Pelodiscus sinensis: one gene and its partners. The protein of the gene in region 2 purifies or fractionates together with the protein of the main gene of each other region. This does not show direct contact. Links are inferred from orthologs where the notes say so. Each region holds a gene or a part of one and is shown on either strand. Other genes may lie near its edges.

The links. Proteins that work in one complex are often made in the same cells at the same time.
Region 1: the proteins of RBBP4 (region 2) and CBX5 purify together in Homo sapiens (affinity purification with mass spectrometry; 6 studies listed by BioGRID and IntAct, with this or other methods). This does not show direct contact. The link is inferred for Pelodiscus sinensis from reciprocal best matches to the Homo sapiens genes RBBP4 and CBX5.
Region 3: the proteins of RBBP4 (region 2) and SIN3A purify together in Homo sapiens (affinity purification with mass spectrometry; 11 studies listed by BioGRID and IntAct, with this or other methods). This does not show direct contact. The link is inferred for Pelodiscus sinensis from reciprocal best matches to the Homo sapiens genes RBBP4 and SIN3A.
Region 4: the proteins of RBBP4 (region 2) and BRMS1L purify together in Homo sapiens (affinity purification with mass spectrometry; 5 studies listed by BioGRID and IntAct, with this or other methods). This does not show direct contact. The link is inferred for Pelodiscus sinensis from reciprocal best matches to the Homo sapiens genes RBBP4 and BRMS1L.

The regions. Positions count from the first base shown.
Region 1 is NC_134729.1:1,218,486-1,225,957, forward strand, and holds the start of CBX5 (chromobox protein homolog 5), read right to left. Parts: upstream 3,013-7,472; 5' UTR 2,858-3,012; intron 2,777-2,857; exon of another isoform or gene 2,644-2,776; intron 1-2,643. Other genes in the region: HNRNPA1 (heterogeneous nuclear ribonucleoprotein A1), read left to right, coding at 3,782-3,865, 4,478-4,594, 5,067-5,213, 5,985-6,195, 6,312-6,404, 6,502-6,600, 6,965-7,036, 7,346-7,465. UniProt on the Homo sapiens protein: Component of heterochromatin that recognizes and binds histone H3 tails methylated at 'Lys-9' (H3K9me), leading to epigenetic repression. In contrast, it is excluded from chromatin when 'Tyr-41' of histone H3 is phosphorylated (H3Y41ph).
Region 2 is NC_134735.1:3,390,359-3,397,478, forward strand, and holds the start of RBBP4 (histone-binding protein RBBP4), read right to left. Parts: upstream 3,017-7,120; 5' UTR 2,994-3,016; coding exon 2,858-2,993; intron 2,770-2,857; exon of another isoform or gene 2,642-2,769; intron 1,050-2,641; coding exon 902-1,049; intron 1-901. UniProt on the Homo sapiens protein: Core histone-binding subunit that may target chromatin assembly factors, chromatin remodeling factors and histone deacetylases to their histone substrates in a manner that is regulated by nucleosomal DNA.
Region 3 is NC_134724.1:34,507,279-34,514,383, forward strand, and holds the start of SIN3A (paired amphipathic helix protein Sin3a), read left to right. Parts: upstream 1-4,093; 5' UTR 4,094-4,157; intron 4,158-7,105. UniProt on the Homo sapiens protein: Acts as a transcriptional repressor. Corepressor for REST. Interacts with MXI1 to repress MYC responsive genes and antagonize MYC oncogenic activities. Also interacts with MXD1-MAX heterodimers to repress transcription by tethering SIN3A to DNA.
Region 4 is NC_134714.1:47,686,223-47,693,479, forward strand, and holds the start of BRMS1L (breast cancer metastasis-suppressor 1-like protein), read right to left. Parts: upstream 3,013-7,257; 5' UTR 2,924-3,012; coding exon 2,788-2,923; intron 1-2,787. UniProt on the Homo sapiens protein: Involved in the histone deacetylase (HDAC1)-dependent transcriptional repression activity. When overexpressed in lung cancer cell line that lacks p53/TP53 expression, inhibits cell growth.

The DNA of each region.
Region 1 (7,472 bases), on a different chromosome or scaffold from region 2:
GTGTTACAGCTAAATACAAGTGTAGAACAGGTAAGGAGTAAACATGTATTGCAAGCGGCCACTCAGGATACATCCACACTGCAGAGCTATTTCGGGATACCGGAAGTATCCCAAAATAGCTATTCCATGTCTATTGAAGCAGCCCGTTATTTCGAAATCAATTTTGAAATCACAGGCCGCTTATTCCGACGTCCTGGTAACCCTTGTTCCATGAGGGTTATGGGGCATTTTGGAATAGTGAGTTATTTTGAAATACACTCAAAATAAGCTATGCAATTTGCGTAGCGCAATTTGTGTAGCTAATTCTGAGTGAAGAGTGCTGTATAGACACACCCGCAGAGAGAAGTGAGCAACTAACTCTACTACAGTCACAGGACAAAGAAGAAACAGTGGGTTACAGATAGTTATGAGCCACTATAACTTCACATCCTGTCTTATTCCAGATTAATTTTCCCATGTGCAGACAAACCCCAGAGCCTGCTGTAGCTGCCCCACCCGTCCTACAGACGGGATGGTCCCTCATAATGACATTAGCCCACAAGGTCCAGGATGGGTCTGAAGGATAACTTGGGGGAGGGGGAGAGGAGGAGGGCTGGCTCTGGGCAGTAGCAAAGGTTGGCATCCCTATCCCACTCACAGGCAGCCTGCTCCACTCTGCCGCCATCTCCCAGTTAGCTCGCTCCACTTCACTGCAGCAGCAGGAAGTGGAGTGACTCTGGTTCCACTTCGCTGCAACAGCAGGAAATGGAGTGACTCAGCTAGGAGATGGGTAGCAGGGCAGAAGAGAAAATGCTGCTGGGTACACAGTGGGGGGGGGGGGGGGGGGACTTGACCCTTGCTGCTGCCCTATGCCAAACCCCCTGTAATCTCACAGATAGCATCACCTGGAGGCAGGGGCTTTGGGAAAGGGTTGCATTGGAGGCAAGGCAGGGACAGGGCTTGGGGAAGGGGTGGAGTAGGGGCCGGGCGGGGCAAAATGGGTTGCAGAGCAGAGTACAGTTTGTGGCCCCCCAATCAGGCAGCCATGGATGGGCAGTTACAGAGGATGGTGAAGGTAGAGAAAGGAATGAGGGTTGTTTGAGGGGAGAAAGGGCTGCCTGAGAGCTATAGATCTTTGTGTGGGAAGATGAGGAGGGCTAAAGGGGGGGGGATGTTTTCAGGGGACAGGGCAGTAGAGCTGGGGGATTGTTTGCAGGACATGGGTGGGGGGAGATAGGGGAATTGCAGGGAATCTTGGGGAGGAAGTTGAAGGAGATCCCAGGGGGGTAGTGACAAGCATAAGAGGGTGCGTGGCAGAAGATTGGGGGGAGGATATAAGATCTGTGGTGGGCAGCTGGTGGGGTGAGTTGCAGAGGATTTTTCTGAGGAAGAGATTTGCAGGGGATCCAAGAGATGGACACAGAGGATGCAGGGCATTGGAGGGAGTGCATGAGGGGAGGTTTGCAGGAGACTGGGATTAGCAGGAATTGTGGTTAGTGGGATTTATAGATATCCAGGAGGGACTGAGCAGTAGGGAACAAGATGTTGCAGAGAACCAGCTGGCTTTTAGCTCAAGCTGCTGACACACTAATCCAGAGGTCCCAGGTTCGGTTCTCACTAAAACAGCAGGCAAGTGGGGATAGGGAGAACCCCAGATGAAGGGCTGTTGACAGAGAAATGGAGGGGATCTCAGGGAAAAACAGCAGGGGAAGGGTTGAGGGGGAGCACAGGGACTATTGCAGGGAACAGAGGGGCTGAAGGACAGGACAGGGCAGGGCAGCTAGTACAAGGGGTAGGAGCAGCATGAGAAGCTCGTGGGGAGTCAGCGAGGGGGGCTGCAGGAGCAGTGAGGGGCTGACAAGGATCTGGGTGGGAAAGGGAGGAGGAGGGGCGGGGGGAGAGGGCAGCACAGGAGATGTGGCAGAGACAGAGCTGAGAAGTTTCCAGGACAAGGGAGCGCAGGAATGCGGGGCGGGAGCAGAACGAAGGATTTACAGCGGGACTGCGGGAGGCCGGGGGGGAGGCGCAGAGAGGGGATGGGGGGCACAACACGGGGGGGTTGTAGCACGGGGGCGGGGGGGGCACAGGCCGAGGAAAGGGCAGGGTGGGGGGGGCAAGGCAGAGGCACGGGGGGGAGGCAGCGGGGGGCGGGGCGATGGGGGGGCACCGCCCGCGGGGGGGGCAGGGCGGGGGATGGGGAGCGGGGGGGGCAGAGGCCGAGGGGGACGCGAGGGGGCGGGGCTCGGCTCCCCCAGCCCAGACTCGGGGGCGCGCCCCGTGTCCCAGCCGCCTCCCCCCCCCAGCCCAGAGCGGGGCGCCGATTGTCCCGCCCATCGGGAGGAAACAACCCGACACCGCGCGCCCTTTGGCCCGCCGCGCCATCAATCAACCGGGAAGGCCCCGCCCTTTCCCCCCAGGCGGCGCCCCATTGGCGCAGCCGGCTGCCACTCCCAACTCCCGCGCGACGGGCACCAGCACCCCCCACTGCCCGTCACGCGCCTCTGCCCCGCCCCCGCCCCTCCATTGGCCGGCCGAGCTGTCCGTCAGTGGCCGCGGGCCCGCCCCCTAACCCCTTTCATTCCGCACAATGAGCCCGTCTCCCCCTCCGCCCCGAGCCCAGCAGCCCGATGTCCCGGCTCAGCCGCCCCGCCGCCGCCCGGGTACCTGGGGACGAAGCGGGTCCGGCGCGGACTCCCCCCTCTCGCAGGCCCTCAGAGCCGAGGCCGCTTCTGCGCAACGCTCGCCGCCCGCCAAAATAGCCCCCCTAGCGCGCAGGCGCCTGGCTCCCCGCACGGCGCATGCGCGGCCCGTCCTCTCCCTCCCCCCGCCTCTTCGGGCGCTTGCTCCGGGTTCCGCTAGCGCATGCGCAGACGAGCACCTGTGGGCTTTAGTCCCTTTTTCCCGCAGGCTGCCAGGCAGGAGCCCGGCTCCGCACGTTCCACAGAGGCAAAGCGCGCGGGCTGGTGCTAGGGAGAAAAAGCCGCTCGCCCCCCGCCTCAATGGGAGCCGCCTCCGCCCCCACCCGAGTGATTGACACTGCCGCCATCCAGTCAAGTCCCACGTCTAGCGGCAGCAGCCAATCACTGCGCAGATTAGAGCGGGACTGTCCATGAGCGAACCAATCAGAGGCGAGCTACAGCCTCTCGCCAGTAACGCGGGAAAAGGTTGGGGGAGGGAGGAAGGGAGGGAAGGCACGCACGGCCACGTGATGCGTCAATAGGCGGGGCTTACGCAGGCTTAGCCAGTAGGCTGTAGCAGTGGGTGGGTCACGGATCTCCTCCGCCAATGAGATGTGTCGGCCTCTCGTGGCTATCCAATCGGAGGCGGGGAGGGGGTGTGCCCCGACCGCCGCCTCCAATGGGAGCGCGCGGCGGGCGGGGCTCTAAGAGGGGGCGGTGGAGTGAGGCGTCGACGCTCTCGTCATTCAGCCCTTTCTGTATCGGCGCCTCGCGGAGGAAGCATCGCACGCGCAGCACTTCTGAGGCGGAGGCCCGCGCCCGCCCGCCCCCGCCATGTCCAAGTCCGAGGTGAGCCCGGCTCCGGCCGCCATTTTCTCCGCTCCCCGCCGCCGGCGCGGCCTCCCCTGGGCCCTGCTGGGGCGCGGACCTCGCCGCGTTCGGCCGCGCCTTACGCCTTTCAGGCCTGCTCGGGCTTCCGTCCAGCCCGCGGAGGCTCCCCCCCCTTCTGCGCCTGCGCCGCCTCAGCCTTCGCGCCTGCGCTTTACCCCCCTTCCCAGGTGGGCGGCCCTTCGGCGCCTGTGTGGTGGGGATATGGGGGGGGGGAGTGAGCCTCCCGCGCTCCCATGTGCGCGTGCGCGCCCGCCTTTGTGCAGAGCCGGAGGAGCGCCATGGCGGCCGGGCGAGCGCGTGGCGGGCCTCGCGTGCGCGTGCGTGGCGGCTCCCGCGCGCCAGGGCTGCAAGCCCTCTAGGGGGGAGGGGGGGTTGGTGTGCACGGGGGGGGCCCTCTGCGGGGGGAGGGGGAGGGGGGGTTGGTGTGCACGGGGGGGGCCCTCTGCGGGGGGAGGGGGAGGGGGGGTTGGTGTGCACGGGGGGGGCCCTCTGCGGGGGGAGGGGGAGGGGGGGGTTGGTGTGCACGGGGGGGGCCCTCTGCGGGGGGAGGGGGAGGGGGGGTTGGTGTGCACGGGGGGGGCCCTCTGCGGGGGGAGGGGTTGGTGTGCACGGGGGGGGCCCTCTGCGGGGGGAGGGGTTGGTGTGCACGGGGGGGGCCCTCTGCGGGGGGAGGGGGAGGGGGGGTTGGTGTGCAGGGGGGGGCCCTCTGCGGGGGGAGGGGGGTGGGGGGGTTGGTGTGCAGGGGGGGGCCCTCTGCGGGGGGAGGGGGTGGGGGGGTTGGTGTGCACGGGGGGGCCCTCTGGGGGGGGGAGGGTAGCCTGTAAGTCATTGTGCAATCTCTTGCTCTGGGCATCTCCTGGGGAGGGGGGAGCAGGGGACGGGCCCTGTTGGCTGCTCCTTCCTGACTCGTTTTTGTGCCTCTTCCCCAGTCCCCCAAGGAACCTGAGCAGCTGCGCAAGCTCTTCATCGGCGGCCTGAGCTTTGAGACCACAGACGAGAGCCTGCGGGGCCACTTCGAGCAATGGGGCACGCTGACAGACTGCGTGGTGAGTGCCTGGCCCAGAGCATCCTCTGGGTGTTAGATAATAACATTCAGATGTGGGGGAAGGACTCTGATTGCATGGCCCGGCTGCCTTTTTTTTTTTTTTTTTTTTTTTTTTGATGCCACGGGAAGAGCTGAATAATTTGTTTTTACTGACATCTGTAAACTACTGTTCCAGGGGAGTAAGGGGTCTAACGGCAAATTTAGGGTTAGACGGAATCCTGCAGAGGAATGGCCATGCTGTCCAGTAGCCTCTGTCTTCCAAGGGTGGCTGGTATCAAATGCAGTTTTAGAGGGAATGAGCAGAACAGGGAAATTACCAAATGATCCATGAGGTCCCAGCTTTGGGCAGAGGGAAAGTTGTAGGGCAAAGCTAGTGCTAAATAACTTTAGATGTTCCTTTGTTCTCGTCTTTATGCCACCTGTTTGATTCGTGTTATTTACTGTGGTTACTAATGGAGGTGTGTCCTTTCTAGGTAATGAGAGATCCAAATACCAAGCGCTCCAGGGGCTTTGGGTTTGTTACGTACTCTACGGTTGAAGAGGTTGATGCCGCCATGAATGCTAGACCACACAAAGTTGATGGCAGAGTTGTTGAACCAAAGAGGGCTGTATCCAGAGAGGTATGAATGAATGTTTAGTCTAACCATGCTGTTTTCATAGCCTGAAATTGGCTCACTGTTAGGATGAACTGATCCAGTGGGGCTCTGTAGGGAGGAGTTGAGGTTAAAGTGACCATAGTTTGGCTATAACCCAGGGGTTAAACTGAGGTGGGTCGTTTCCATTCTCTTTGTGGTTTGGGGAAAGCAGTACCCTGCTTACATTAATCGTGCTGTCTGTAACTGCCAATGCTGCGTTTCCTTGCTGTGCTGTCTACCAGAATATGTACTTAAAGCAGGACCACATTAGTAGTTACTACAGGTTGGACCTCCCTTGTCCGGTACCATTGGGACCCGACTGATCCCAGATGAGGGATTTTTCACAGGTCATTTCTGGCCCCCTGCTGTCTCCCCCACCCCCACCCCCTCGCTTTTTTCACAGCTCAGCTGGCTCCCACACCAGCTTTTGCCCTGCCTCTTCTCTCTCTCTCTCTCTTCCCCCCCCCCCCTTCCCTCGGCCAGGCTCCTGGACCCCCCACAGTGTGCCAGGACTGGGACATCTTGGAACATCTGTGGCCCGGAAGGGTTAGGGTTAAACCATTCTGGTTTATAGAGATGCATCCTGTACAAGTAATTGTAAATGGGGACCAGTTTAATTTGTGGTGGACACGTATCACGATTTTGCATTGTCTCTGTCTTTGAGCAATGGGACTGTTGCATTTCGAACCACTGTTTATGGAGCTCTAAAATTGTACATCTCAGATAATGCTTGAGCTTGCCCTCTGTCCTGTCTAGGATTCTCAGAGGCCTGGTGCTCACCTGACAGTGAAGAAAATCTTCGTGGGGGGAATTAAGGAAGACACAGAGGAACACCACCTGCGAGACTACTTTGAACAGTACGGCAAAATCGAAGTGATTGAGATCATGACAGACCGTGGGAGCGGCAAGAAGAGGGGCTTTGCATTTGTCACCTTTGATGACCACGACTCTGTGGACAAGATTGTTAGTAAGTTCTCTGCACAGCTCTGTGAACTGTAAAGATTGTATAGCATTGGAAGGGGACCCGTCCTGGGTTTCAAATCAGGACACGGTGACAGTTAACGTCTAATTCTTCCCTTCCAGTTCAGAAGTATCACACTGTGAACGGCCACAACTGCGAAGTGAGGAAAGCCCTGTCAAAGCAAGAAATGGCCAGTGCATCATCCAGTCAACGAGGTGAGTGCCAGTTTCCCATCCATTGCTTTGGAACTCATCCAAACCGACCTTTGGCAATATGAGCCGTGCTGCTAACAGGCGCTGCTCTCTTCTTTAGGCCGCAGTGGCTCTGGGAACTTCAGTGGTGGTGGCGGCCGTGGAGGTGGATTTGGTGGCAATGACAACTTCAACCGTGGCAGCAACTTCAGTGGTCGTGGTAAGGGACTTTATGGGGTCCTTTTGATTCAAGTTCTACGGATATGGTCAGGCTAACAAAACTCCAGTTTCGGCCCCTAGGTTAACCCAAATGGCTGCTGCAGTTTTGGCTATGGATATTTTTTTAACTTGATTTGGGCACTGGACTAAGTGTAATTCTCCTTGTTTGGCTCATGCGTTCAAACCAATGCTACAAGGACTTGTTCAGGTACCGCTTGGAATCCCTGATTCCCTGCAACAACCTCCACCAATTGACATGTCTGCTTCATTCTGTAAAAGTGGCTTGCCAACCATATGCCCTGGGCCCCAGCACCTGGCAGTGTCCCTCCTCGGATAGACTGAACACAAAGGTTTGTTCTTTTCAGGTGGGTTTGGTGGCAGCCGCGGTGGTGGCTATGGAGGAGGTGGAGACGGCTATAATGGATTTAGCAATGAGGGTAAGGCCAAAGCATAACTCCCCTGACACGGCAGTGGCCAAGGTTGCCTTGTTTCCAGGCTCCATGGTGCCAAGCCCAGGAAGAAGCATGAGGAAGGCATCTCCACTCCAGTCCCTTGGCCTGGTGGACGGCTGATAGAACAGTTGTGCTGAGTGTGTTGCACGGATTGGTGACGGTTTCCGAGGCAAATCTCTTGATTGACCAGCACACGTGCTGGGATCCGTGCTCAGGGGAGTCTCTAGTTCTGTCCGTGGACTTTGGGCTGTGAAATGCTTGAATTCAGCAGCTGTGTGTGTGCATGTCTTGTAGGTTACGGTGGCGGCGGCGGTGGCGGCCCTAGCTACTCAGGAGGAAGCAGAGGTTACGGTGGCAGTAGCAACTACGACGGCTATAACAACGGAGGGGGCGGCTTTGGCAGCGGCAGTGGAGGTACGTG
Region 2 (7,120 bases):
GGCTCTCAAGTGCCTGCAGCACTTTAGCTGTCCCCCCTCACTGCCCAGCTGCTCCTGCCCAGAGCCCCTGAGCTGCTCCAGGAGCCTCCTGCTTATTGTGCAGAATGGGGGAGACAAGAGGCAGGGAAGCATTGATGTCACTCTGTCCCCCTCTTCTGTACCCCATCTTCACAGAGTGAGGAGGGTGAGGCCTTGCAGAAGGGGTGAAGCAGGGGTAATTGGGTTTCAGGTAGATCCTGGACTGAAATTCAAAGAGTGAGCTTGTGCTTAAAAAGGCTGGAGACCACTGTCCTCTCTCATACTGGAGTCCTTATAGCATCAAAGTTCACTTGTTTTCTTTGCCCATCTATAGTATCTCTGATATTCCCCCAAGGAGCTTCTAGTGGAGTAAAGTCTTGAGGTTTATTAGCACTTTGAACAAGCAGAAGATGGAAAATAAATTGGTTCAGTAATTTAGGGGGATGACAGTGATTACTTTTAAGTTTGTCTCTGGGGTAGGATGGACAGGAAGAGATCAGAGAACAGTTATACAGCCGGTCCTCGAGTTACGAACACGATCCACACTTACGAACAGTACGGCCGCATTTAAACGAATGGGGTCCGACTTACAAACAAATGGAGTTACAACCAAGTGTTTGGTACGTAACTTGTCAGTAAGCAGGGGACCGGCTGTACTTTAAATAGAGGTGAAAATATTCTGCCAAACAGCAGTTCATTTTTTAAACAAAAAGGAGTGGAGATATTGGTTAACATGGTGTGCCGTAACAGTCCTCAACTCACTAAGGATAAGGCAAGAGCACAAATTGCTGGTCATGGAAGACAGCAACTACAGAGTCTTGATGCAATGTGAAACGCGATAGTGACTTTTTTCATCATTCAAAAAGTCAGAGGATAAATTTACCTTGTTACATCAGGAAGCCACTGAGCAGTCAAGCTGGGCCACTCCAGAGCATGGGTCATTACCAGATCATACAGGAAAGGAGTGTTCTTTTTCCAAATTTTATATTCCTCATTGATCACACGTTCCTCCACCGCATCATCAAAGGCTGCTAAAGTTTTTTAAAGATGCACAAAAATATGGACAAGTATTTATAAATGGTCAACAAGACAATGAATGTACATGGGGAAGCTTTTTTGGGTGGGGGGGGGGTCATTGACCCACAGAAGAAGAAAAAAGTCAGTCAGGGGCCACACACACAGGTGAGAACAAAAACAAAATCTTCACACACCCTGACGTGGCCGCAAACTGAGAAGGAGAAAGACTCCCCACCTCTCCTCTCACACACCAGAGCCTTGAAAGGGCCCAGTTTAGTAGATTGTGTGCTCCAGCTCTGCAGTGGGGGGGGGGGGGGGCTGAAGCACTAGCACAAACTCCCCAACATGAAGCAGGGGGGCCCTGAGCCTCAGGGGCTGGATCCAGGCAAGCCAGAGGACAGTTCCCTGTGCATGCAGCCCCTGTGCATGAGGTTCCCCACCCCTGGCTTATCTGATAGCAACACTACTGATGCATACACCATACTTCCACAAAAAGCCAACTACTAGATTAAAAAACTCCTGCAGCACATGCAATCACCTCTCTCTTCAGATAAAGAAGTCTAATCTAGAACCAATAGTTGTAGGAAGCAATACAAATTAAATACACAAGGAAGCAATGCCTGGGCTCACTTCATACTAGAAACAGCCCCATTAAGGCTACTAGTCCTAAATCAACCAATAGAGTCCTGTCCATCTCTCTTTGTGAGACAGATGAGTTGAATCTACACCTACCAACTCACCCTTCACTAAAAGTTACTTTAAAGAAGGTGCAAAGCTCTCCACAATTTAGAGCAGCATTTTTTTTTCCTGTAAAAGTGGTTTCATTGAACATTAAAAAATAAATCTCTTTAATACTACGCAGGTTCGAGCGACCTAGGAATCCCATAAAAACGCCAAAGTAAATATGGGATTAGACTCCAGATTAAGGATGCAAAACCCCAATTCATGTGTTAATTGGTTAAAAGTGATGTTTAACTAGTTAACCGCTTAAATGGGACCAGATTGAGGCGCACCCATGCTGCTCCGGTCGGACCTGCCCGTCGCATGCTAGGCTTGAGCGTCCCCCACCTGCGGCAGACCCCGCTGGGCGGGAACAGTCCCTGCCCGCATCAGGCCGGGGGCTGCTCCAGGTTAACGGTAACCGGGGGCAAGGGGGATGCTGACCCGTTCAACATCCCCAAAGCAGCCTGAGCGAGATCGGAGCCCAACACGCAGACCGAGGAGGTTTGGGGGCCGCAGGTGGCAGCCTCCTGGCCTCCCCTCGGGGCAGAGCGCGCAGCAGCAGGGGGCGGCCCAGGGAAGCGGGGGGGGGGCACGAGCCAAGCGCACTCGCGGCCCATTGCAGCCCCCCAGGGAGCGCGGAGCGGGAGCGCATCTTGCGCGGCCCCGCAGTGGGGGGGGGACCCCGGAAGGGAACCTCCTGGAGACCCCCAGGTGACCCCCCCCCACTGGAGCAGGCCCTGGCGGGGACGGCGCGCCCGAGGGAGGCGGGAGGGGGCCGCGGCCTGACCCCCCCCCCCCCCAACAGAGACGCGCGCGGGTGGAGACACGCCCCCGTCCCCAGCCTCGGAGCGGAGCCCCGCCCCCAGCCCTTCCGGGGAGGGCTGTGTCTCGGCGGGGGGAAAGGGGGAGCAAGGGGGGGGGCTCAGAGCAGCTCCCCAGAGACCGAGGGCGCGGCCCCTCCCCCCGCCACTGAGGCAGCCCCTCCCCCCGGCAGGTTCTCCACAGCCTGAGGTAGGAGCACAGCGCGCGCGTCCCCCGGAGGGGGGAGGGGCCCCCAGCCGGCCGGGGGCCCGCGCCTCAGCCCCGCGCTCTCGCCTACCCTCCTTGTCCGCCATGGCGAAGGTGCAGGCGGTGCGGCCAGCCGGCTCCTCGCCTCCCTCCGTCCCCGCCAGCCGCCGCTCTATTGTTTCCTGCCCCCTGCGTGCGGCTCCGGCGCCGCGCGCCCTTCGCGCCATCGGCCGCCAATCACAGCCCACTGCCCGGCCCGCGCGGCCAATCCGAGCGCCGGAGCGGGCTCGGGGGGGGCGGGTCCAGAGGGGCGGTGAGCGCGCTCTCCGGATCACGTGGGAGGGGGGAAGGCGCTAGCGGCTGAAGTTCCCCTGGGAGCCGCCATTTTCCAGTGTAGGGCATCTAGGGGGACATGGACCCTGGCTCGTGCGCAGGTCTTCTTAAAGGGCCAGTCACCAACCAGTGGTCACCTGCATACAGACACTATGGCTGTGTCTAGACTGGCAAGTTTTTCTGCAAAATCAGCTGCTTTTGCGGAAAAACTTGCCAGCTGTCTACACTGGCCGCTTGAATTTCCTCAGAAGCACCGACGATCTCATGTAAGATTGTCAGTGCTTTTGCGGAAATACTATGCTGCTCCCATTCGGGCAAAAGTCTTTTTCCGAAAAACTTTTGCACAGAAGGGCCAGCGTAGACAGCTCAGCTTTGTTTTCCGCAAAAAAGCCCCGATCGCGAAAATGGTGATCAGGGCTTTTTTGCGGAAAAGCGCATCTAGATTGGCACGGACGCTTTTCCGCAAAAAGTGCTTTTGCGGAAAAGCGTCCCATGCCAATCTAGACGCTCTGTTCCGAAAATGCTTTTAACGGAAAACTTGGAAAACTTTTCCATTAAAAGCATTTCTGGAAAATCATGCCAGTCTAGACGTAGCCTATAGAGTATCAACTTCTAGCCCTTGTGTGTGCCTCAGTTGGGGTCAGCCTGGGGGGTGGGATAAGCCATTGCACCCCCTCCTGCAGGTACCACTGTGGAAAACTATTTCCAGATGGGCATCCCTGCAACGCTCTGGCCTGGCACTGCATTAAGTGCATTTCCCCTAATAGCTGGGGTCATCCCGTGTCATTGCATGGACGTGTCCCATCTGCCAGTACTATGGTACTCATCTGAGCAAGTGACCGAAGGGTAAAGCCCACCTAGTGTTCCAACACTACTACCACTATCAGAGGGGTCGTCGTGTTAATCTGTGTCTGCAGAAACAATGAGGAGTCCTGTGGCACTTTAGAGACTAACAGATTTATTAGAGCATAAGTTTTCGTAGGTAAAACCCACTTCATCAGATGAATTGGAACGCAAGTTACAAAAGCAGGAGTATATATAAGGGAGAAGTTACTTGTGTTAATGAAGCTAATCAAGCCAGGGGGGGAAAGTGGATTATTCATACGGTGATCATATTTTCTGAACCAAAAAAAGGACACATTGGCCACGCCCCCAGCCTCATTAGCCACATCCCCTGATCTCTTAGTCCCTGCCCACCTGCTACATAAAGTCCCACCCCCGGAGGTAGTACTTCCAGGGTTAAGATGGACACATGACTGGAAGTAAAGGGTATCGTGTGACGCCTCTAAGAACTCCTCCCACTGTCCTCTGCCAATAGGGATGGGTTTGGCCCCCATAGGACCCTCCCATGCAACCATACTGAAATTGCATTAATCCAACTTGCATTGCATTAACTCGGGGGAAGAGGCCAGGGTTGCCTGTATTTCAGTGGCTCTCAAATTTTTTGGCCCATGAACCACCTGGCTCAGTGTAAACCTTTCTGCAGACCACCATTTGCTAATGGAAACTCACTGTGAATTACGTAATTACTCTCAAGCCGTTTTGCTAGTGCTGCAGCTAGGGAGAATGGTTTGACTTAAATTGTTAAATAGATTAAGCGTTTTAACTTTCTTGTGTTAGTTTATCAAACTTCATTTTAAATACAGTAAAATATTAATTTATGACCAACACAAAAGGTTTCAATTTTTTCTTTATTTATGGCAGGGGGGGGAACCTTTTTTGGGTTGGGGGGCCACTAACCCACAAAAAAATCAGCTGGGGGCCACACAAGCCAGAAGCAAAAAAATTCCTCCAAAAACCCCCAACCCACACTGAGCTGGCCCTTAACTGAGACACCTCACTCTTCTGGCATCCTAGCCCCACAGGGTGAGGGGATGGGACCAAGAGGAACGAGGTTCAAGGAAAGGATGTTAAATTGCGGTTATCAAGCTAATCGTGTAGTTGAGGGTAGCTTCAGGAGCTGGCTCAAGCTGAGACTCAGCAGTCCTGGCTCGTGCCGGGTCTGGGAGCCACCCAGACTGCAATTCTGCATTTTAAATGTAGTAAGAGCTGCCGGACTCTTAGTACATTTAAAATTCAGAGGTGTAGCAACCAGCACGAGCCAGGAATGCTTGGTCCCGGCTTGCGCTGAGTCCAGCTGCCCCTGTTCACGTCAGACAGCCCAGGCCACTGTGAACAGGGGCTGCTTAGCGGCAGCAACCCCGTCGTGAAGGGCTCAGCTCCTTGTTGGCCTGAGCAGCCCCTGCCCATGGTGAGCCTAGGCTCAGGCGTGGAAAAAAAAGGGGGTTCCGTGTGCAGGACAGGGCTGCCAATGTGTGGGATAGGGATGAGGTTCAGAATCTGGGAGGTACGTGCAGAAAGGGGAGAGGTTGAGACGTCTGGGTGGGAGGTTGGGTGCAGAGACAGGCTGGGCATAGGGTCCCTGACCAGAAAGGAGGGTGCAGGAGTAGTCTGGGGGTAGGGTTTCTGGCCAGGAGGGAGGATGTCTGGCCAGGAAGGAATGTACAGGAAGGGGTTTGGGGTAGGGTGTCTGGCCAGGAGGGAGAGTGCAGGAGCAAGGGAGGGTGTCAGAGCAAGCCAGGAATGCAGGATCTTAGAGGGGGGAGGGGAGTGAGTGAGGGGGATTTGGGTGCGGGGCCTTAGCATGAGGGGGGTGCTTATCTGGCTTGGCACCCCATTGCAGCAGGGAAAGCCTCCAGACTGCACGCTGTCATTCCCCCTGCAGGGGGGAACAGAACAGGAACTCAGTCCCCCCCCACATGCAGCGGGGATCCCAGTGCATCCACGGGGCTGCAGCACCAGGTCAGGCTTCCCACTGACAGAGCATGGGGGTGTGTGAAGAAACCCCAACATACCTCGCCAGACCAGGCTCACTGCCATTCCCCCAGCGGGGCGGGGAGGGGTGCGGGGGAGAGAGAGCGGCAGCCCGCCCCAAGGATTCTGCGCGTCCCCTGCCGGGGCTCAGGCAGCAGTTCAAAAGTGCTAAAGTTCGGGAGCGGCTACTCAGACCTTGGACCCGGCCATAGGGTTGCCAGATGGTTTCAATAAAGATACCGGACACACTTGATATGACATCACAATCTACATTACATCTTATTTAGAAAATACCGGACATTTCTATTTTCTCGTTTCTATTTTCTCAACTTGTTTCCCGAACAGAAAGCTCAAATACTGGACTGTCCAGTTCAAAACTGGACACCTGGCAACCCTACTCAGCCACCCTCTCTCTCCCAACATGAGTGGCTGCTGTAACAAGCCACCGCCTGCACGTGTGGAGGAGGAGGCTGTACAGCTGGACCCGGACCCCATCTGACAGAGGCAGTCCCATGGAGTAAGAAGGGGGCTGTGCGGTGGTGGGGCAATGGGTGATGAAGTGGTCAGAAACTACGTGCCACCAAAAGCCCGCCCCAGCTGGGAACACGCTGTTGATGCTGCGCCGCACCTGGAGCAATGGACTCACAGTCACTTCTTCCCGTTTGAGTCCCCGTCAAGTAGTGGGGGACTTTCCAGCAGGGCTTTCCAGGACATTTCACTACTTGATGCGGGACCAGGAAAGAGTCCTTTAAATCAGGACAGTCCCGGAAAAATCAGTATGTATGGTCAACCTAGTTATTCATAGTATTTGACGTGGAGATGTGACTATTCAGAGAGGGGAAATTGCCTTTGTAATGAAGTTCAGGAATGGTAACACACATAAACCTGTAGGGATACATTTTAACCTCCTTGGACAGTCAGTAATGGATTTGAACGGATTTAAAAAACCGGATACAAAGGGAGACAGCTGACCTGGAATTCATTTACAAATTCAACACTATCAATTTAGGATTGAATTAGGATCTCAACTGGTTACCGCATTACAAAGGCAATTTCTCCTCTCTGGATATTCACATCTCCATACAAATGCTATAAATGACCCACTTCCACCCTGACTTGATTAGCTTCATTCACACAAGCAACTTCTTCCTTAAATATACCCCCTGCTTCTATAACTTCCACTCCAATTCATCTGATAAAGTCGGTT
Region 3 (7,105 bases), on a different chromosome or scaffold from region 2:
ACCTTTGCAAAATTCACTGCAGAATTCTGGCTATTGATACACACAGCTGTAATTCATTAGCACACATATTGTGCTTCTTATCTTCAAAACAATTTAGTTGCTAATTCATTACCGCTCTCTACACCTTGTGAAGCAGTAAGAATTATTGTCCAGTGTTACAGACAGAGAAACTGAGGCAGAGAGTCTAGTGACACATTCCTTGTGTCAGAACCTGGGCTTCAGAAGTCAGAAGTTCCTGGTTGTGTTTCAAATTAGCATATTGTGCTGAGAGAGATTCCCTTTTGTTACCTCATTTTAAAAACAAGGAAGAACAAAAAGTATAGAAAATGAACCAGAGACTAGCTAAGGTGAGACTCACATTAGCAGATGTTAACCCACACCTGTCAACTGGTTTACAGATACCACCAGGCTAAACAACCTCCTTGATGTACCAATCACTCTAATTCCCACTGAAGTAAATGTGGTGTACAGGTCTTCAGCACTGTACGGGATCATGCCATACATGAGCTATCTTTACATGTACACTTAAATCACAGCTACCTATTTGTATATACTAGTGGAGCCAATAATGTATATGCAAACTTGAACCAAACACTGACCAGTCTGGGGATGTGATTATTTTCTACCGCTAATGTACCTGATGCAAAGTGCTCCACTTAGGAAGGAACAATCAGTTTCACACATAGGCTACGTCTACACTGGCCCCTTTTCCAAAAGGGGCATGCTAATTTTAAACTTCAGAATAGGGAAATCTGCGGGGGATTTAAATATACCCCGCGGGATTTAAATAAAGATGTCTGCCGCTTTTTTTCCAGCTTAGGGAAAAGCCGGAAAAAAGCGTCTAGACTGGCCCGATCCTCCAGAATAAAGCCCTTTTCCGGAGGATCTCTTATTCCTACTTTGAAGTAGGAATAAGAGATCCTCCGGAAAAGGGCTTTATTCCGGAGGATCGCGCCAGTCTAGATGCTTTTTTCCGGCTTTTCCCCAAGCCGGAAAAAAAGCGGCGGACATGTTTATTTAAATCCGCGGGGGATATTTAAATCCCCCGCGGATTTCCCTATTCTGACTTACCTGCTTTGCATCCCTTTTCTGGAATTTGGGGCCAGTGTAGACGTAGCCCTACAGAATGGGAAGCGACTGTCTAGGAAGGAGTACGGCAGAAAGGGATCTAGGGGTTATAGTGGACCACAAGCTGAATATGAGTCAGCAGTGTGATGCTGTTGCAAAAAAAGCAAACATGATTCTTGGATGCATTAAAAGGAGTGTTGTGAGCAAGACACGAGAAGTCATTCTTCCGCTCTACTCTGCGCTAGCTAGGCCTCAGTTGGGCTATGTCTATAGTCGCGGCTTCTTGCGCAAGTACGGCTGTTATTGCACAAGAATCTGCAGAGCGTCCACACTGCCCGCCCGCTCTTGCGCAAGGAAATTTACAGTACGGCGTGGTAAGAGAGGGCTCCTTGTGCAAGAATTACGCTCTTTTTTATCAGGTGTAAGCCCTTTTGCGCAGGAGCTCTTGTGCAAGAGGGCAGTGTGGATGCTCAGCAGGGATTTCTTGTGCAAGAAAGCCCTATGGCTAAAATGGCCATCAGAGCTTTCTTGCACAAGAGAGCATCTACACTGCCATGGGAACTCTTGCGCAAAAGCACAGCTTGCACATGGGCAATGTGGACGTTTTCTTGCACAAGACTTCTTGCACAAGAAGCCTTGTGCAAGAAGCCGCCAATGTAGACATAGCTTTGGAGTATTGTGTTCAGTTCTGGGCACCGCATTTCAAGAAGGATGTGGAGAAATTGGAGAGGGTCCAGAGAAGAGCAACAAGAATGATTTTAGAGAAGAAGGAAGGTCTAGAGAACATGACCTATGAAGGAAGGCTGAAAGAATTGGGTTTGTTTAGTTTAGAAAAGAGAAGATTGAGGGGGGACATGATAGCAGTTTTCAGGTATCTAAAAGGGTGTCATAAGGAGGGAGAGAGAAAACTTGTTCATCTTGGCCTCTGAGGATAGAACAAGAAGCAATGGGCTTAAACTGCAGCAAGGGAGATTTAGGTTGGATTTTAGGAAAAAATTCCTAACTGTCAGGGTAGTCAAACACTGGAATAAATTGCTCAGGGAGGTTGTGGAATCTCCATCTCTAGAGACATTTAAGAGTAGGTTAGATAAATGTCTATAAGGGATGGTCTAGATAGTATTTGGTCCTGTCATGAGGGCAGGGGACTGGACTCCATGACCTGTCGAGGTCCCTTCCAGTCCTAGTATTCTATGATTTTATGATCTACACTCGAGTTACAGGTGCAGAAAACCAAGTTTTAGTTTTATTACCTGTTGATACATCCTGGGCAGATCACTGATCCATTGCTTAGAGCCCTGGAAATGTACTTTAATCTCTCTTAGGAGCCTTCCTAGTTGAGTAAACCTGCTGTTTACCAGTTCAACTGCATAGGTGTCTCTGCCCCCAGTTGCTTACAGTCTAAGTAACGAATGAACAAAGCAAATCTAAAAGGAACATGTCTGCAGTTATTGGATACAAACTTTGGCCCCAATCTTGCAAAATTCACCGTAGGATTCCAGCCATTGACACACATTCTTGCATCTGACAAAGTGTTTTTTAACCACAAAAGCTGCCCAAATAAATCTGTTAGGCTGTGTCTACACTGGCCACTTATTCTGGAAAATCAGCCGCTTTTCCGGAATAACTTGCCAGTTGTCTATACTGGCCCCTTGAATTTCCGGAAAAGCACTGACGATCTACTGTAAGAAATCAGCCGCTTTTCCGGAAATACTATGCTGCTCCCGTTCGGGCAAAAGCCCTTTTTCCAGAAAACTGTTCTGGAAAAGGGCCAGTGTAGACAGCACAGTAGTGTTTTCCGCAAAAAAGCCCTGATCGCAAAAATGACGATCAGGGCTTTTTTGCGGAAAAGCGCGTCTAGATTGGCCACGGACACTTTTCCGGAAAAAGTGCTTTTCCGGAAAAGCATCCTGCCAATGTAGACGCGCTTTTTCCGGAAATACTTATAACGGAAAACTGTTCCGTTTTAAGCATTTCCGTAAATTCATGCCCGTGTAGACATAGCCTTAGTCTTTAAGGTGCCATAGGATTAGTTGTTACTGTCTACAGGTGTTCAGGACCAGTCATGGCTCATTGTTTTCCTGTTCTTCCCCCATCTTCCTGAAGCCATCAGTATATTTGTCTTGTATATAGATTATAGATAAGACAACAAGCTGTTTGGGCTGGGACCTGTCTTTTCGTTCTGGGTTTGTACAGCGCTTAGCACAACAGGGTCCTGGTCCATGACTACTAGGTGCTACAATAATACAAATAATAATAAGTCCTATGCATTTGTATACAACAGTTGTGGAGAAGAGAACGCTCCTTCCTGACGCTCACCTTTTCACTAAGCCTTTCCCACTGCTCTTCCAAAACAGGTTCCTGTGCTCTTTGTGAGAGTCTTGTCCTGCATGGGTTGGTATAGCAGTGTAAAGTAGAGGATTGAGATTTGGGAGACCAGAGCTCCCCAGTCTGCCACAGCTCTCAGGCAAATCATTTATGCTCCGTGCCTCAGTTTCCCTATGAGGGTAATATATCTACTTCTCACCCCAAGGCCTGTTGCAAGGGTCAGCCTTGCGTGTTTGCATGCTGTCCTAAGAGAGCAGGGTGAAGACAGTAGACAAGTAGGATAATGGAGTTACAGGAGTTAATGCTTGGGTGGAAGCTGCTAGGACAAGGCACAGTGTATCAGAAAAGACTCACTCGCGGCGCTGCCTGCAGCCGGGCTGCCAAGGCGGGAATCACGGCACGACCGCACCGCTCCCTTGGCCCTAGGACTTTGCCTTTCCAAAGTGCTCCTAGCACGGTAACAGGTAGGCTCCGAAAGTGCTTCAAGTGCAGCGAGACATGAAAGCGAAGCGGCTGCGAGCGCTAACTTCGCTCCCCGACGTGCAGGCGCATGTCCCACGGACCTGAGCGGCGACCGGGCACCGAGCTCCGCTTTTGCACAAAGCCCTGCGTGTTTTGGGGAGAGGGCGTGACCTAGGTTGCAGGTTTGGCTCCAGCTTTCCCGCCCCTGATAGGCGGGATCGAAGTGACGCGTTTGAGCGAAAGGCCAATCTCGCGTGGGGGGCGTTCCCATCCATTCAGGACTCCTCGCCTGGGCTTTGAGGGTATGTAACAGCTGCTTTCAATTTAGTCGCAAAAATATTGGGCATTTTGAGGGTTGAGGTGAGGATTTAAGACCTCCCGGCCCAAAGCAGGCCAGAACCCGAGGGGAGAAAGGGGGCGGTAGGAGGAGCTGTTGCGAATCAGGGTGGGCGAGGGACTGAGCTGGCGGATCCGTTGAGGAAGAGAGGAGAAATTAAAAGCCGTTTCCCCCTGGGTTTAGCTTTGCCTTTTGCCCTCGTCTCTGTCCGGAGATCCGAGAAGAGCAGGCGTTTGGCCGGGTGGTGTGCGTGCTGCTGGTGTTTGTTTAACAACGCGCTGGGTTCCATGCAGTTCGGGGGAAGAAGGAGGAGGAGCAAGGACAGCTCGGTTCCCCCGCCCCTTATTTTGCTTGGCATAAACAAAGCTGCGCTGCGGGTCGGGGTCCCGCGAGGAGGTTTAGGAGTTTGAGGAGTAGATTGAAGGGTGACTTTTGCAGCTCAGCTCGGTGCGTGGTTTTGCAGGCGCTGCCAGAGCGTGGATCTAGTTTACAAATCCCAAGGCCGGATGTCTTACTCGCAGGGAGGGCGGAATCGGCACCCGTAGATTTGTGCTTCTCTACGTGAAACTTGTTGGGGCGGGGGCGGGTGAATGGATCTGCCAAGAGGCAGCCGCCTGCAGGGGGGCGCGGGTTGCAGCTCCAGCTTCCCTCTCTCTGAACTGGCAGCTGCGTGATTGTTATTTTTAAAATCACGCTAAAACGAGCGTAGCTGAAGCCCCGCTGGTCCGAGCGGAGCCTCTCGCAGCTGCCGTGGCGTTCCGTTGCCGAACGCAAAGTAGCCAGGCGGGGGGTGAACGTTCCACCGCCGAACCCGCTAATGTTCTGTTGCCGAACGCTCGCTAGTTCCTGTGCCCCGAACCCACTTTGCGCCCCAAGCCGGAGCAGTAGCCTTCCTGCTCTCATCCCTCGGCGGATTGAGCCTGATTCCCTTTGCAAACATGGAGTTGCATCTTTCCACCCCGCCTCCTCTGCCGGTGGGAGGGAAAGATGGACAGCCTCGGGGTAGGGCTATCCCCTTTTCTCTCGCAGTCGGCTGGCCCTTGCTGCTCTCGTGCACGGTGGCCCAGAGTAGTTTCAGGCAGCAAAAGAGCTGGGAAGGTCGGGAATGGGGGGGGGGGGGGGGGGGAATTGGTCCGGCTCTGACCCGAGGAAAGGAAACGCTGCAGATAGGGCGATCATCAGCTGCAGGAGACAGGGAAGGAGGTTTAGGGTGTGGAGTAATCTGCCTGGAATTAACTACCGCGACGGACAGGCCCTCTCCATGGTGGACTCGCGGTTCAAGGGAGGAAAGGGCTTTCCTCGTGCTACCCAAGTGAGTGAGGCCGCGCGCCGGCCGCCAGCAAGACTGGCTTGTGCGGGGCGGAAGCAGCTGGCTGGAAAGGGAAGGGTTAGCGTTACAGTTTACAAGGCGTGGATTTGGGGAGGAAAAGGAGGGGACTCTGCCTCTCCAGCCCAAATGCGGGAATCCACTTCCGCGTCCTGCCAGCCTGAGCCGCTTTCCCTCTCCTTTGCTATTTGCTCCTTCAGCTATGCAAGCGGCGTTCCCTACCGAGCCACTGCAGGGGAGCTGTTAGAGTGAATACGCAGCACACGCACTGCCTCCCCCTCCGTACAGTCACTGGGCGGGATGAGCCCTTCTCCTATTGGAGAACTAGAGCCATCCCTTCTTCCTTATTGGCTAGGATTCCTAAATCGCTCCGCCCAGCTGAAGTCCTGGCTGTTTTTCAGGCTGGTGTTCCCCTCCCCTCCTACCCCAAATGGCAAAGGGCTCCCTAATTCCGGCGGGGCGAGGGAGGAGGGATGTTTTCCTCTCCTTGGAGCTGATTGGTAGAAACGAAAACATCGACCCACCTCCTTTCTGTCTCCGAAAGGGAGGGAGAATGGGGGAGGGGGAGAAGGCAGGTCCGGTGTCTCCCCCGTCCTCCCCCCACGTGTAATAGATCCGCCCCACGTGGGGCGCAGCCATCCCGGAAGTGAAGCTGCGCAGTTAATGCGGGGCAGGGCTTAGGGACAAAAGGATTCTCCCGCAGATCAGTCAGTTGATGAGCTCCCCGGCAAAGGGAAAGGCATTCCTTCCCCCATCCCCCGACAAGCTCTCCTGCTGGGGGTTGGGCCACCTGCTAGGATGCCTCTTTCCTAATCAAATCCCTCCTCCCCACAGCAAAGGGCAGCGGTGACTGTTTAGGATATTTTCGGAGGGAGCTCTCTCCCTGCACGCTATCCCAGGCCAGCTTCCTGGGGGGGCGGGAGAGTCATCCCAGCTTCCTTCTCTGCTCTTAAAGCTTGGTAGCAAAAACACTTGGCGGCCCTGTTTCCTTGCCCCATGCTTCACGTTTTTCTTGAGCGGGAGAAGTCCAGACTGGGCTCACTCCGGAGTTTTTTAACTCGGAGACTGTAAGGAATCTACCTGGCACAGTATCTCAAATACTAGAGATCCCCGCTTATGCGTCTATGCCCCGCACTCCGCCCCATGCTCTGCCCAGTGCGCCCCCGAGGTGGACAATTGAGGGGGGAAAAAAGCAGCAGCATGAATCGAGCCCCCTCCCCCACCTTTTCCCAATTTCTTTTCGCTCCTTCCAAGTCCAGTTTGGTGCCAGAATGTTTGGACTGCCTCGAGGAAGCATAGTTGCTTCTTTGCCCCTTCTCTGGGATCTAGCCGGAAGGTAGAGTTGTGGTCCAATGCTTGGTTCTACCGCCCCTCCCCGCTCCACTCTTTGTATGGGAAAGACTTAAGGGAAACTTTTCTCCAAACATTTTGTTAAGGTGTCGGTGGCCTCCCCCAGTACTGGTGTCCTGAGCGCGTACCAGCTCCTCCCCTGCTGCGATTCCTTTCAGATCCTTGATAGATTAGCCCGTCACAAGCCGACTATGGGTTAAAGTGGCCGTAAAGCACTTTTGCTGTGGATCGTACAA
Region 4 (7,257 bases), on a different chromosome or scaffold from region 2:
GAAGCTGGGCTGCCTGCACACCTGGCTCCTATCATATTTAAACTGCAGAGCCTCAGGGCCCCTTATTGACTAATCGTGTAGTCGATACAAATTGTATCAACTACCTGATTAGTCAGTTACCCGCTTTTTAACATCCTTAATATAACTACCCCATCAATTTACTCCTCGGGAGGTCTGCCTCACAAAAGTAGAAAGGCAAACAAGGTGTTAAAATATCTTCCATTATTCAGATGGGTCTCCAGTATGTTTTAGGTTCTAGATATATTTCAGTATTTTTGTAACTATTGCTTTGTTTTAAATTAATCAGCAGCTGTTTACTTTATAAACAGATGTCAAGGGAGTTTAAATCAAGATAAGCAACATCAACTCCAATCATGCCTGAGAATCAGTGGTTCTCTGGACCCTTTCCTTTCTGCACAGCATACTGGGTTGCTTAGATGTGTACTCCTGTCATTTGCTACAATGTGGAATGCACCACCTTGAGATGTGGGAGAATAGTACCCTCCTCCAACTGCAACTAATACAACCATAGGCCCTCCATTTCTATAGCTGCATACATACATACATATTCAAGCAAGTCTGACTTTCCACCAAGCAGAAGACAGAGTTTCACTTATACAATCACACATGAAATCACCCTCATGTTCACCTGGATTTATCATGAACCTCTGACTACCTCACCTGCACTCTGCCAACTAATCCATCTCCACTAGGATTATTGGTAACATTTCAAAACTCCAAATAGCTACAAAGTATCTTTAAAAATACTGCCAGTAGTTTATTATATTCAACTCCCAAAATGTGATATTTCTTCCCTGAAGGTGCATAAACTTGACAAGCACGATGGGTAATAGTCAGTCTTAGAAAAGTAACTGGTTTAGTATCAGATATTTCACTACCCATCATGCAAGAAGTTAGAGACAGGGATATCAAATCCCTCATTTCACAAGATCATTTGTTTCTAGACCTGGGATACCACAAGGTATCTGACATTAAAAATCATCACTTACGCATGGCAGAATTGTTTTGGTAAGTTGGATAGGTTTCTAAAATTTCTTCTCCATTCAAAGACTGAGTGGGGGGGGGGCACACACGGTAATTAGAGCAGCCTGGTTTAAAGGTGGAGATAGTAAAAACAGCGCCAACAGTAAAATTCTGAACTAGCTCTTCTATAAAATGTGGCCAAAACTGAGATACTGGAATGATGAACATAACTTGTGACTTTGACATCCATCACTAATATAGCATTTCTAAACTCAAGGGAGTGAGCTTGGAGGAATCTTGATTCTCAAGCATAGAGTGCATTGATTATCTAACTTCCAGACAACTGTTGATAAAATAAAGCAGCTGAAGTTGAAGGTAAGAATTGGGAATAATTTGTGAGCTTATCAAAATGTCATTTTAGCCAAACCTCCTTCTCTTGCTTTAAAGCAGAATTTGCTATTTAACTCAACCTCGCTTTTTGCTTATTAGAAGCAATACAGTAACTTAAAAAACAACAGAAAAATTGACACTAAGGTATTTCTTTTATTGAACCAACTTATGTTGCTGGAAGGCATATATTATTCATTAACCCCTAAGCTTGTCTGTCCCAACTTGTATTTAGCTCAGACACTCTTGAAGTCCTTCTCCTGACCTGAAGAAGAGCTCTGTATTACTGGAAAGATTGTACTGTCCACCAACAGATGTTGGTCCAATAAAAGACATCACTTCACCCATCTTGTGCATTTCATATCTGGACCACCACTACTATTAACGGATATTTATTGTGATATGTGGTATTTTAAAATTTATACTTATTCTTTGGCAAGTCTTTTCTATGGAACTTTTCATAACAAGTTATCTAGAGTTTCTTTAAACAGTTTCAAAAAGCCTTAAATGGGGAACAAGACAATATTATGCAAGAGTTGGCAAATATACCCTCCCCCCCCCCCACACACACACACACTCCTGGGAGGGGACAAGATGCTACAGTGCAGTAAATGGAGAGGGGAGATTGCGCTTTGCTTCCCATATCAAAAGGTGGGGGTGCGGGATTGAGGAGAAGGTACTATGCAGGGCATGGGCAAAGAAGCTGACAGTGACCCCCTAAATCAAGGAAAGGTAGATAAGGAAAAGCTGTCATACAGGGAAGGAGCAGGATGAAGGTGAGAGGGCATATGTCAGGAAGGGCATATGTCAGAAACTGCCAGAAAGGGAAAGTGCCCCCACATCAGGCAAATAGGGCAAGAAGAAACTGACATGCAGAGGGAGCATGGTAGCACAGCATGTGACCACGAGGTAAAGAGAATGAACGGCGGGCAGGGAGGTATCCTTGGGAAAAGAAGCGCCTCAGAAACAGCCAAGCAGGGAAGAAGGGGAAGGCCATTCCCTTAGCTAGAAGGGACCCATACGCTGCCATACAAGGGAGAAGGGATGTATCCACAAGCTACCATGCAGACGGGACAGGCAGGCCGAGCCCCCAGTAAAGGGTTGTGTGTGTCACAAGTTGCCCAGCAGGGAAGGGGGGGGGGGCTGCACGCCCCGGCTCCTCCAAGGAGCGATTCGGAAGTTGCAGCGCAGGGGAGCCGGGGGCGAGCCGTGGGAGAGGGGGGGGGGCGTGTCGGGAGGGCGGGGCAGACGGTGCCGTACGGAGGGGCGGGGTCAGATGTTGCCGGGTGGGGGCTGGGGCAGACTGTGGCGAAGGCATTAACAGTCGCTTACACCCACACCCCGCGCGCACCGTTATCCAGCGAGCGAGCGGCCGCCCTGCCCCAGCATCTGTAATCAGCCCCTGGTCCCCGGTACCTGAGCTGTCCCCCTCCTCGGACACGGACGAGCTCTCAGTTTCCTCCTCTTCCGAGGAGCTCCCCTCGTTCTCCCCATAATCCACCTCCATCTCATCGTGGTTGTTCTCCTTCTTCTCCCGGGAATGGACCGGCATCCTCCCCCGAGATGCCGCCGAGCGCCGGGACCGCCCTTCCCTCTGCCGCCACCACCGGCAGCTCCTCCCCCTGCCCGCCCCTCAGTAAAACCGCGCCATTCCCGCACGCCACACAACGCAACCCAAGTGCCTGCCGCATGGCTCTTCGCGCCGCTTATTGGTGCATATTGGCCCGAGTGGGCGTGTCCCCCGCCGAACGCAGTTGGTGTGGTTGGCCGTTGCGCGAAGCACTATGGTAATTGTAGTTAATCTGGAGAAGACTCGCTGTGGCTTCATGGACATGGATTAGATAGCGGAGTTGCCAGGCTGAGGCTTGTGAGCACTTTGAATTAGGGAATTTCCATCTTTCCATGGAATCTCCTTTGCAGCAAAGGTGCTGATTTAATTGAAAGACTTCTCGATTGTTACAGTTAATGAATTAGAGCTAGGAATATGCCAGCCCTCGGCTGGTTGCAGCTCTTGTCAGCCTTGGATGAAGACAGCGTGAAATGGTTGGGTTGGTTGACTGGCACTTGGGCAAATGATCATAGAGTATCAGAACCCTACATCCCCTTTTTTTCCCTCCACTCAAGATCCTCTCATCATCTCATCTGAAGAAGTGGGTTTTGCCCACAAAAGATCATTATACTATATATATATATATATAAACTTCAGTTTATTCAAACCGTAATTCTCCAAAATGCTTACAAGGAGTTTTTTGGTATTGTTTTGTCTTTTATCTGCAATTACTTAATTAAGTTTTACTTCAGATTAACTAATACATTTATACCTGAACTAGACAGATCACAAAAATTCATGGCATATCCTAGGCTGAGCCACGACATAAGATTAAATCTCTACAGCTTCAAATTTGGGGTTCAGATAAGAAATGATTGAATAATGGAGGTATCCAGGTGGTTTGTTCAAAACTGATAAACTCCTTGGGAAGGAAGCAGAAGCAGGTAGCAAGGATGGAGGTCAAAAACTAGAGAAGAGGGACACAGATGACTGAACCTTCAGAAGAAAAAACTTTGGGCAGATGAGAAGTAGGAACGGGCACCTAGGAGCTAGCTGTCTCTTCTCCCCACCCAAACTATGTTTTATATTTGCTCTTAAATAAAAGGTCCATATTTTTCCACAGATACATGCACACAACTTTTCAATGGTGAATAAGTTGCATTTCTGGGGATAAGGCCCAAGAGTTTCATTGGCTTCACTTCCGCTGAGACAATCAGTCTTGGACAAGCATTCAAGCTTCTAAATTAAATTATTAATTAATAATTAATAATAACTTGAAACTCACCTTCACCTATTTATCTTAAAGTGGAGTGCTCTGCTCTTTTATCCACATTAATCATTATGTATTTCACTGCTCTTTAAAATTGTTACCCACAACATTGTGAATTACATAATACCTTTCTATACATACCAGAGAAACTGAAGTAGACTTTCCTCCTCTACTTTAGAACACTAATAAGGCAAGATGTCAAAAGAGTTTTGTAACAATGGGATCCATGTAAGAATCCACAATACAACATTTCTCTATTAATTTCAGAGATTAATGTTTCCTTAAATGAGACTGGGATGTATTCAAAGATACTTTGTGAAGTGTTTAGCATCAGCTGGAGCAGGGGTTCTCACACAGAGAGTTCCAAATCACAACTGCAGATAGCTGGTGGGATGGGTAGTAAATAGGAAACCAAGGTTTAAGTATGTGACAGACTTACTAACCATTGTTTTATTAAACTGCAGCTAGAAAGACCTGTAATAGAGTGTAAATTATTACATTTATTAATGAGGCCCACAAGTACTAAAACACATTGATCATGGAAGGATGACAAGGAAAAGTAACAAACACTAAAGCAAAAAGAAAAAAAATCACCATCTTCTGACTCATGTAATACTTCTTGTCTTGTCTGTTTCTCCTTTGGATTAGTATGTACATCTATACAGCAGGGCTAAAGTCGAACTAAGCTACGCAACTTCAGCTACATCAATTACATAGCTTAAATCAAAATAGCTTAGCTCAACTTTAGGCGCTATCTACGCAGCAGGAAGTAGAAGGAAGAACATTGTTCCTTCAACTTCCTTTACTCCTTATAAAATGAGGTTTATTAGAGTTGAAGTAAGAAGTGCTCCAGCTCGACATTATTTCACAATAAAGGCTAATAGTGTAGATGTGCTCTTTGTTATTTTGGAATAATGTCAGTTATTCCGAACTAACACTGCTGTGTAGACATGCGCCAAGAGATGAGCCTATGTAGATATACATGTTTGGAAACTGAACACCTAGATACGTTGGAGGAGTCTGAAGTGCTGTTGAAACTAATCTCCCAATAATCAGACATTTTCCTATCCTGTTGTATTTAGACTGATGCATAATAAGCGATTCAATAATACAAAAAAAATGTTAAACTACCTTATCCTCTGTATTTGTGAACTGCCTAATGTAACTAAAAATAAACATAACAGACCTGGTCTAGACTTAGAAGTTTTCCCATCATAGTTATGTTAGTTAGGGGTGTAATTTTTGCCTACATAACTCAGCTGGTAAAAACCTTAGTACAGCTGTAGCTATACCAGCAAAGCTTCTAATTGCAGATAAAAAACAAGAGGGTTTTGCAATTTAACTAAGTTTAGTATACCTATGCAAGGGAAACCCTCCTAGCAAAGACAATGTTTAAATAAAATACTTTATTAATGGTTACAAAATACCATCAAATTACATTTTATTGCTTTGATATTTTATTGCTTTGAAATCTACTGCTTCTCTTTTCCCACCATAGAATCTTCAGAAAGCAGCTCATCCTCTCAGCCAGGAACATTCAACTGCTATGGAATCTAAAAACCTCATAATTGGGTTCTCTATTCCATTGTCAATCTTCTGTAACACATTCTTGCTTTTCAAATATCCTCCCTTATACATGTTGCTTTCCCTTCTCCCATGGCCTAATCCAAATTCAGCTAGTTCACCAGTCTACACCAGATAAGTAAAAGGCCATTATAGTATTGATCAAAGCCCAGGGGTGGGCAATAATTTTTCCCCGGGGGCCACTGCAAACGTTTTTGAATGTGGCCTAAATGGGAAGGGGCAGGGCTACCCAACCGCCAGACCATGATTGGTCTGGGGATGGAGGAGCCCCTTGCCCCCTCTTCCCACTAGGCACCCATGCCCTGGAAAAGGCTTGGCATGCTTTCCCACCCCTAGACCAATCAGGGCCTAGGGGCGGGAGAGCACAGGAAGCCTCCTCCCGCCCTGCTAGGAGCACATGACACTATGAAGTGCCCTGGGCTCCTCGCAAGGCTGGGCAGGGCGAAGGAAGCTTTATGCAGCTCCCACACCCCCCAGGCCCTGATTGGCCTGCGGGCGGCGGTGTGCACGAAGTCTCCTCTGCTCTCTCCCATCCCCCCTCTTCCGCCCCGTGAGCAGCATATAGCGCTACAAAGAGCCACATGCTTCTGGCAGGGCGGGAGGAGGCTTCATGCTCTCCCCCGCCCCCAGGCCAATTAAGGCCTGGGGGCGGGGATCACACAAATCCTTCTCCGCTCTGCCCCTGCCGCACGCTGTTCGCAGGGCGGGGGCAGAGCGGAAAAGGCATCGGGCACTCCCCCATCTCAAATCCTTAATTGGCCTGGGGGCGGGGAAGCAGCAGAGCCTCCGCAGGCCAGATCCACCTGCTTGGTGGGCCAGATCTGGCCCCCAGAGGCCCTTTTGCCCAATCCTGTCAAAGACCATGTAAATTGAGCAATTAGTTGCCCATCCAAAAGGCTTGTTAACTGAAACATACCACAGTAATGCTCCAGGACACTACATCATACAAAAATGTTATTGCAGTGTTTTGGACTTCTACTACTAGTACTACTACTACTACTACTAATAATGTCATAATTATGGTTGAGAGAAGGACTAGTTAAACCACCTCAGTGGAAAGAACAAGCTTTGTGGCCTTGAAAAAAGATAGAAAATATGTCCATTGTCAATCTCAGAAAGTAGAAGAAATATACTTGTACATGTTAAGTTCTACAAAATTAAAAAGGAGCTTTTGTGATGTTTCCCAGTTTTATATGTACAATTGTAAAAACAGAACCAGAATGGAACATTGCTAGGTCATCTAATCCAGGCTTCTGCATTGAAGCAAGACGAAGTATTATTTAGGCCATCCCTGATAGGTGTTTGTCTAACAAGTGGTTCTCAATATGTGGCCCCTGCATCACTTGTAGCCTAATTACCACACCGTTCAGGCTCAGGTGACATCCTCACGGCCACATCTAGGGCAGGTCCCCTGGTCTCAGAGCTGGAAGAGGCTATGTACACAAAAATGGGATGGTGCACGACTGGGCCCAACATTACCGCC